2 linked regions of the Yarrowia lipolytica genome follow. Each later gene encodes a partner of the first gene's protein in a complex. Links are inferred from orthologs where the notes say so. Each region holds a gene or a part of one and is shown in the gene's direction. Other genes may lie near its edges.

Evidence for each region.
Region 2: the proteins of YALI1_F04848g (region 1) and YALI1_E17037g are in contact, whole or in part, in a crystal structure (PDB 6KBM), measured with the Saccharomyces cerevisiae proteins. The link is inferred for Yarrowia lipolytica from reciprocal best matches to the Saccharomyces cerevisiae genes ATG13 and VAC8. Residues at the interface, in NP_015511.1 of Saccharomyces cerevisiae: Arg661, Ile662, Pro663, Ile664, Arg665, Gln666, His669, Tyr670, Ser671, Gln672, Pro673, Thr674, Thr675, Ala676, Phe678, Gln679, Ala680, Gln681, Ala682, Lys683, Phe684, His685; in NP_010903.3 of Saccharomyces cerevisiae: Val103, Ala107, Gly110, Asn111, Cys144, Asn145, Gly148, Cys149, Thr151, Asn152, Thr155, Lys160, Arg182, Asn186, Gly189, Leu192, Asn193, Thr195, His196, Arg201, Tyr226, Tyr227, Thr230, Ser233, Asn234, Val237, Arg242, Gln270, Arg276, Asn277.

Annotation. Positions count from the first base shown.
Region 1 is NC_090775.1:482,004-486,757, reverse strand, and holds YALI1_F04848g (uncharacterized protein), read left to right. Parts: upstream 1-1,909; coding exon 1,910-4,057; downstream 4,058-4,754. Other genes in the region: YALI1_F04860g (uncharacterized protein), read right to left, coding at 399-584, 635-661; YALI1_F04855g (uncharacterized protein), read right to left, coding at 822-1,064, 1,120-1,218; YALI1_F04849g (uncharacterized protein), read right to left, coding at 1,530-1,740, 1,786-1,847. UniProt on the Saccharomyces cerevisiae protein: Activates the ATG1 kinase in a nutritional condition dependent manner through the TOR pathway, leading to autophagy. Required for autophosphorylation of ATG1 at 'Thr-226' and its dimerization. May also be involved in the regulation of autophagy through SNF1.
Region 2 is NC_090774.1:1,701,481-1,705,871, reverse strand, and holds YALI1_E17037g (uncharacterized protein), read left to right. Parts: upstream 1-2,104; coding exon 2,105-3,865; downstream 3,866-4,391. Other genes in the region: YALI1_E17065g (uncharacterized protein), read left to right, coding at 1-1,035. UniProt on the Saccharomyces cerevisiae protein: Functions in both vacuole inheritance and protein targeting from the cytoplasm to vacuole (cvt). Involved in the formation of nucleus-vacuole junctions (NVJs) during piecemeal microautophagy of the nucleus (PMN).

The DNA of each region.
Region 1 (4,754 bases):
TTTTGCTATTATGGCTACGGAATGGAATTTTTGTATGACAAGAATGATAATTTATTACATGTTTTCATAGTCCTCGTTTCCAGCTACATTTCTATACAACTTTTACTTCTTCACCACCTCTGCAACATTGGATTTGAACCCCCAGTAACTTTTTCCTTTAACAAATTCCCAACTATAACTAATCCAACTAGCCTCGTTAATTGTATGCTTCCATCTCGCTCAATAATACTCGGATTGCCACCACGAGAGTTGCTTTCGCTTCGGAATCGTCCGCTCTCTAAAATGGGCCCTTCTCCGATGTCTGCACATTTTCCCGGGACTATGTGCGCCGTATCGTTTGCTCTCGCGCTCGCATCCGTCGTTTCCCAGCAACGATAAGCCCGATATTAAAAACAGACCTAATCTGATGCGCATAAAATAGACTCTGGGGATCCTGTGACTGGAGTGTCCGGATCAGACGGCAGGAAGATACGTCTTTGGAGATTGCGGAGAGACGTCCAAGTCATGTGACACGCGGAGGGGGGGAGGGGGAGAATTGGGTCACGTGACCGGCCCCATGGTCGCCCTCTTTGCCTTTTTTCTGTCTCTTTTTTTGGTCCTTTTTCCGGCTCACGACACCGTGGCTTTCGGTGACGTAATCAGAGTCTAAAATGCACCTCATGTTCTGATAAAGACTCTGATAGCAGATAATGTAGGCTGTGCGTTTGGGGGGAGACTTGAGGGGTTACCTTATATATGGCTAAAAAAATCGGGGGCAAAAAAGCATTAAAATAATGAAAAAGGGCCTAAAAATATTTTATAAATATTTTTAAAAAAAACCGCTAGTAAATTCGAAACGCCGCTGGTAAATTCGAAACGCCGCTGGTAGATTCGGCTAGGGAAACTCCCCCCGGACATTCTTTTTCTGCCAATTTCCCGCAATTTCCCCTTTCAATCTCGCCATTCCACCTTCCCTTATGAGTCATGTCTGTCACTGGTGCTACAAGTAGTGCAAGTACTGTACGTACATACTGTACATAGATTGTAGTAGGTGGATACCGACAGTGACGGATACTGGGTGGATACTGGGTTGTTGGCGGGAAATGGGTCTGCTGCAATCAAACTGTTTATGAGTCACACATGCTTCTTCGTCTCCCTTTCTCTCTCTCTTTCCCGCTCCAGTCTATACGCCATGTGGGTAAATAACTCGACGCCACCTGCTCCTGTAGCTCCTGTCATACTGCCCCTTATAGAGACGTTGTATCTTAACGTTATCAGAGGTGATTTCTCATGCAAGGGTTTGGTTTGATTACCGGCGCGGGCGGGCGCGAGCTGGGCGGTGGCCACGTTTTGTGTCTGGTTGGCGGGCAGTGGTACCGGGTCAGCAGACGGGTTTGGCAAGTAGCGGCGGTTTGCGGTAGCAGGGAGGCAGTATCACGAGACTGGCTCCGTTCACGTGACAATCCCTCGTAGTGCGTCTGGGCTGCAAGGCCATGTTGATGTGGGCCTGAAAGTAGGTTGACTGGCCAAACCTCCTACTATTATTCTGGTTATTGACTCACTCGGAGCAACTGCCCTGTGACGAGACCGCCGGCCGTTTTTTTCTTCTCTTCTTTGCGAGTGGCACAAACAGACGGACACAAACAGACCGACACACGCCGCTGACACCAGACACACTCTTCTGTGGCGTCACCTCCAGACCGGTGACACACACACAAGCACAACTGCGGACACGAACACGGACACAAACAGCACAAACAGCTCAAACAGCTCAAACAGCTCAAACAGCTCAGCAGAAGAGCTCACCACAAACACCACAAACACCACAAACAGCTCAGCACAAACAACACACCACACCACAAACGCATTCTGGTGTCCAGACAACAGCTGCTAGACACAACAGCACTCACAAGTCGTAGACACAACCAGCATGTCGTTCCAAGGCACGTCGTCCGGGTCGTCGCACTCATCCAAGTCGAAACTCAACCAGGTGGTGCAAAACTTTTTCTCCAAGGCCACCCAGGTGGTGGTGCAGGCGCGTCTCAACCCCCGGCTGCGTGAACAGCGCCAGAGCGGCGACAAACACAAACTCAACAAATGGTTCAATCTCGAAACAGACGAGCTGGAGGCCTACCGTGAAGATCTCAAGCTGTGGCGAACCATCGACATCTACAACATGGACAAGATGCCTCCCGTGGTCGTGGAGACCTATCTGGACATGCGCCATCTTTCGCCCAACCAGACGCTGGTGCTAGAAGACGCCTTTGGCAAACGGTGGAACGCCAGCTTTGGAGGAAGGAAAACAGAGGTGGTGCTGGAGCGGTGGGTCATTGAGATTCAGAGACCCGACCCCCAAGCAGGAGGAGCTACAACGTCCCCAGCGTCGTCCACAGAGCTCCCCATGGCCTACAAAAAGTGCATCTTGCTGTTCCGCTCTCTGTACACTTATTGTAGGCTGCTGCCAGCGTGGACGCTGCAAAAGCGGCTTAGCAAAAGCAAACTGAGCACCAGTCCGCTGCGCATCGGCTGCAGGGTGCTTAACGGCTCACAGCCCATCTCTTCGCGTGGGCGGGTTGGCTTGAGCAAACTCATAGCTGGGAGCTCCGAATCCCAGCATCTCCAGACCTTTTCGTTCGACCCCGTGGAAATCCCCTCGGGCGTCTTCAAGATCAGCGTGAGCTACCGGGTCAACTGCAACTTTGCCGTGGACGACTCGGAGGCCATGCTGTCATCACAGTTCCTGCGCATCGACGAGGAGAAGCCCGTGGTGCCCCCCAGCCCGCCGGTCAAACACCCCTCCATGGCGGCCCCCAACTTGCATTACATCACGGGCCTGCCACGGAGACATTCGCATTCTCAGGGCGTGGGAGTGAGTGGGGCGGCCATTGTTCCCACCTCTGTGTCATCTGTCACAGACTACATGGAGAGGAGAAGGAGCAGTGGCGCTAGTGGAGTTGGAGCAACTGGAGGGGGTCTTGCTGGCACCTCTGGAGGCTCTGGCGGAGTGAGTGGAGGAGTTAGCGGCGGATCTGGAGGCTCAGGGGGCTCTGGTGGCTGGGGAGGTGAAGAGGGCTCGCCTGGTCCCGCAGCGACCTCGGCTAGCCCCTCCACACCTCCCTTTGCGCGTGTCCCCTCATCCTCCTCCCTTGCGGCGCTCCGAATCCCCCGCAGAACTATCTCAAACTCGTCCACGTCCTCCACCAATAACGCACGGGTGGTCACCACGCCTGGGTACACGCCTTCGGCGTACGAACAGGCGATTTCGTCGTCCGGAGGGTCGTCACGTTCCGGGTCCGTGCCCAAGTACTCGTCATCGTTCGGTACAAGACAGTGGAACCGTTCAGGCTCGATCAGCAGCACGCGGCGTCGAAACTCAATGCTGGTGGGCTCGGCTGAGTCGGCCATGTCTTCGGGCTCCTCTCTTATGGAACCTGGATCGGGTTTTATCGACATTGAGGATCCCACCGACGTGTCCGACTTTGTCAAGATGGTGGACTCGATCAAACCCGGGTCCCCGTACTCGCTGCCGTCTCCCCGCAAGGGCAGCGATCCTTTGGCGCGGTTCCAGCAGCTCAAGGGATCGCACGCGGGTATTGCCGACAGCATCACGTCATCAATCTACCACCACCAGCCCAGTCCTCCGTACGTGCGGTCCAAACTGAGCGGCGAGGCGAACCTGGAGGCGATTTCAAGCCTTCCCCGGCCCGTGACGGTGCCTCCATCGCCTCGCAAGCTAGAGACGCAGATGCAGCCCATTTCGCTGGCGGACCAGCATACCAGCGAGTACCATCAGCTGCAGCAGCGGACCAGTGCCCGTCCCCAGGCTCATTCGTACTCTGAGCGTGACCAGCTTGATAACTCTCATTACAAGGCGTTGGAGCGATATGATCTTGTAGGAGCTTCTCCAAGCGTGGTGGGCTCTAGATATTATACCGAGCACGACCGGGGACGAGGCGAGAAGCGATACTCGGTGGCTCCATTGCCGGGTCTAGAGTTTGACGAGGACGATGATTTGTTGTTTGCCATGAGTGATATGGCTATGGGGGATTCGGCTTCTGGAGGAAATGTGAGGACATAGTCTTGTGTTTCCGAGCACACCTCCTAAAAGATGATGGCATACACTACCAGAGTACCAACACCAGCAGAGGACATAACTTATATCAATGACACATACTTATTATATTTATACGATTTACAGAAGGGAGATATGCCACAAGTGTAGGCAGTACATACTGTACTCGTAGGAAGACCTTGAAGGGCACTGACCCCTGAACTAGCAACGACCCATATCGGCACCCATGACTCAAAATGGGTATCATTATTATCCGACTGCGGGGGGCTCTGTACTAATATATGTAACTAGCTGTTTTCTTGTCTACACCATCAGTTGTTGACATTTCTTTATCCTACGTCACGTGAACATATCACCACCACGGAAGGTTTCGGGGCCATATGGGGAAAACGGGACGGCACTTTGTCGTTTCATTGGTACGGATATTTGTTGATATTTTTACATTGAAATACTTTCCCGACTCAGGGCTATCTTTTGGTGTAAAAAGTTGTTTGGTGGCATGTATATTGGGTAAACTGACTTCACCAGTCTCAGAGATGAGTGTAGGTCTGCTTTTTCGATACCAACGAGGAGGGGAATCACGTGAGCAGAGCAGAGCAGCCACCATTTTTACAGTCTTATTCCAGTGCTGCATCACTGTAGACACTCTTTCAGGAGACTCTGATTTTATCTGCTATTTTTCCACATTTTTTCCGATTTTCGG
Region 2 (4,391 bases), on another chromosome or scaffold:
TGCTCAGATCTCGAACTCGGCTCTGAGGTTCCTCTGGAGTACCTGAGATACATGGCTATTCTATCTGGCTGTGACTATTGCGATGGAGTGCCGAACGTGGGTCCTAAACGAGCTGCTCGGTACATTCGACGATGGCAAACTCCCGAGGCTATCATTAAGGCTCTTCGTATGGACGGATACAACTCCTCACCCGACTTTTTAGAACGATTCCATGCTGCCAACTTTACATTTCTCTACCAACGAGTCTACTGCCCCGAGGCTCGTAGGCTGGTACATTTGAATGAGCCTGAAGATGAGCTGGACGAAAAGGTCGACTTTCACATTGGCGCCGAGATTCCACAAGGTCTGGCGCGAGCAATAGCCACTGGACTGGTGCACCCTCGAACTCATAAGACTTTTCCTGCCAACAAGACAGCCAAGCCTACCGATCTACGGGGATTCTTTGCGCCCAAAAATGAGTACACAGGCGATGTCAAGCGACTTCCCGAACAGCTGCGCCGCAAGAAGCCCGTTGTTCTGGTGGCAAAGCCGGTTGACCTGGCTGTGCGAACAGCTTCTGCGGAGAACATGTTGAGTCCAACCCGAACGAAGACGTCCCCCGCGCTTACTTCCAGTCACTTTTTCTCCATCCCTTCGAGTCCCGATCAGGCTGAGAAGGAGAACAAGCCCTTCAACTTCAATACCATGTTGAGTTCAGAGCCTGACCGAAGCGACGATGACATTGAAGAAAGCAGCATCGTGTTTGGCACCCCAAACAAAGACACCACGCTACCGCAGACACCTGTGACTTGTGCCAAGCGGAAGTCTACTCTGTTTGAGGAGTTTGGATACAATGCCTCTACGCCCAAGCGTCGAGTAGTGACTCCTACAGGCTCCTCTGGTGTTGCCAAAAAGCCCACAATCACGCCCACAATCACGCCCAGTTCCACACCGCAAGCGCGTCCCAAGAAGAGCGCCATTTCTCCTCTGACCGTGCAGCGTGTTCCTGGCTCGTCTCAAAGCAATCTCATGAGATTTGCTTACAAGGCCAACTAACCTACAAGTACTAAGCTTCAGGGTTCTAGTTGACCATGCAGCATTACAGCAGCAAGCGCTGATAATCCCACGGGCTTGCTGCGCCCGATATTTAACTAATTTACATGGTCCAATTACAAGGGCCCGACGTTGATTGCAGTCTGAAATAGCAATCTGATTTCCTCCCCCAACGATGGCAGCCCCAAGAGACTCCCTAGCCTTGATTTCTGCTGGTGAACCGGTGCACCGGGGCTTTTGCAGTAGAGTATACACTGGGCACTGTAGAGTATGTCGTGCTTAGACGACGATATACGAGACGCGGTAGGGTGACTGTAGGAGGCATAGATTAGTTGACTTGGAGCGGGTTGCGGGTGTTCCAAACATGTGTTTTCGGTGTTTCCAACGCCGTATATGCGTTGCATGTAACCCCAGGCTCTCTTGACGGCTATTTTGCTTCCAGTGTACCGTCTGACCAATTATCACCATTTGCCCCTTAGTTCGTTAGTTCAGAGGGTGCGTGTACTAACAAACCCCGTTTGGGAAGCGAGGCTCAGAATCTCAAAGTATAATTGCCGGCAAAATTACCAATCTGACACACGCCAAAAAAAGAAGAGCCAAAGGTAGAGCGGGAGGGAAGCGTCAAGAGAAAGAGAGAAAGGTGCTGGTATGTCGCTGCCGGATCGGGGCAAGGGTCTCACACCTGTCACGTTGCTATGTAGGCTCCTATTACGTGGATTATGTCGCCCCTATATTGGTATTGTTGCACCGGACTTGTGCATCATAGCTCCCACCGCCGCCCTTCCTCCCCCCCGTTTTACCTCAATTTAGGTGCACTGTGCAACCCTTCTCACACACCCCTCCCACACAAAGTCTACTGCACTTTCGACGACTACACACACCACACTCTCTTGTAGCAACACAAGACCGCCGTCACACCACCACAAACGTCGACATCTCGAAAGCCTAGTTGGTCCATATCCCGGTGAAGCGACAGATTGGATACTTGACCGCCATTAATATACACACGTCTTCTGATTACCTCGACTAATAGCTAAGATGGGTGTTTGTGCGAGCTGCTGTTCAGGTGAGTATGGTACACAGACAGAGAGCGGGTCTTGCAAGGGCGAAGATGGCAGCAAGTGCTGCAGACAGAATGGGGCGACAGCGTATGTCTGGTCTCTCTTGTTCAGCTCCCCCCCGCCCCACAGTCGTCACTAACCCAGGAAACAAACAGGACGGCAACTACGCGCCCGTGCTGGCCGAGGACGAACGGGAAGCCGTGGCTCTCCTGCTGCGATACCTCGAGAACCGAGGCGAAGTGGACTTTTTCTCCAACGGGCCCCTCCGAGCCCTCAGCACTCTGGTCTACTCGGACAACATTGACCTGCAGCGAAGTGCCGCCCTCGCATTTGCAGAAATTACAGAGAAGGACATCCGGCCCGTCAACCGAGACTGCCTCGAGCCCGTGCTGCTGCTGTTGCAAAACACCGACCCCGACATCCAGCGAGCAGCCTCTGCTGCCCTGGGCAACCTCGCCGTCAACAACGAAAACAAGGTGCTGATCGTCGAGATGGGCGGCTTCGAGCCCCTCATCCGACAGATGATGTCGCCCAACGTGGAGGTGCAGTGCAACGCCGTGGGATGCATAACCAACCTGGCGACCCACGAGGCCAACAAATCCAAGATTGCTCGCTCCGGCGCTCTGCTGCCACTCACCAAGCTCGCCAAGTCTAAGGACATGCGAGTCCAGCGAAACGCCACTGGTGCCCTTCTCAACATGACCCACTCGGACCAGAATCGACAGGAGCTGGTCAACGCCGGCGCCATCCCCATTCTGGTGTCATTGCTGTCGTCGCGAGACCCCGATGTGCAGTACTATTCGACCACCGCTCTTTCCAACATTGCTGTGGACGAGTCCAACCGAAAGAAGCTGTCTAGCTCGGAGCCCCGGCTGGTGGAGCATCTCATCAAGCTGATGGACTCCGGCTCTCCTCGGGTCCAGTGCCAGGCTGCTCTTGCTCTGCGAAACCTCGCCAGCGACTCCGACTACCAGCTGGAGATTGTCAAGGCCAACGGCCTCCCCCACCTGTTTAACTTATTCCAATCCACTCACACGCCGCTGGTTCTTGCGGCCGTCGCTTGCATCCGAAACATCTCCATCCACCCTCTCAACGAGACCCCCATCATTGAGGCCGGCTTCCTTAAGACGCTGGTGGAGCTGCTGGGCGCTAGCGACAACGAGGAGATTCAGTGCCACACAATCTCCACCTTACGAAATCTCGCTGCCAGCTCTGAGCGGAACAAGCTGGAGATTGTCGAGGCCGGCGCCGTGCAGAAGTGCAAGGAGCTAGTGCTGGACGCTCCTCGACTGGTCCAGAGCGAGATGACTGCATGCTTGGCTGTGCTCGCTCTCGGAGACGAGCTCAAGGGTACATTGCTGGAGCTGGGAATCGCTGAGGTTCTGATTCCCCTCACCTTGTCGGACAACATTGAGGTGCAGGGCAACAGTGCCGCTGCGCTTGGCAACCTGTCTTCCAAGGTGGGCAACTACGACACGTTTGTCAACCACTGGAACGAGCCCAGCGGAGGAATCCGGGAGTTTTTGATCCGGTTCCTCACCAGCGGCGACTCTACGTTTGGCCACATTGCCGTGTGGACCGTGCTGCAGCTGCTGGAGTCCAAGGACCAGCGTCTTAAGGATCTGCTCAAGAACTCCAATGAGATTGTCGATGCCATCCACCAGCTATCCAGCATGAACTCTGATGGGGCTGACGGCGATGGAGAGGACATGCGGGATTCCAAGAGCGAGGTTGTCATGTTGGCTAAAAAGGTGGCTCCTTTGCTCAAATAGTAGGATGCGATGATTTATTATATATGGAGAAGGAAGACAACTAATGTATTTGTAATCGGCACTTGGAGTTGTAGATACTGTAGTTTCCATCGTCATATCTCCTTGGAGATAACACAAACTTTGTTATCGGTGTTACCTGTAATAGGCACAATGTAACCTTGTTCATTCACATGAGTGGATGAATAAAAGTGGAGGTGGTGACCTACAATTGTAGATGGATGACAATCTTAATGGGCCGGCTTCATAGACCAGTGGGGCCGTTGAGGGTGCAAACCGTGTTTTGATAGAGTGGAAAAAGCAACAATCGGGTGAGATTAAAGGTCACGTGTCCTCTTCCTGTTGGTCCGTCGGTCACTCTATGCTGTGTGTCCTCCGAAATGCTCCTGTTGTAGGCTGTGGTACACCCCCCTAGCACAGCCCCTTTAAACTCGGTCACCGTGCATAGATAGCTCCGATATAAGCATGCTCCCACGGGGAAAACAAGCCCACTACACCGACTTGAAAATTGGAACCGGAAGCGAAAAAA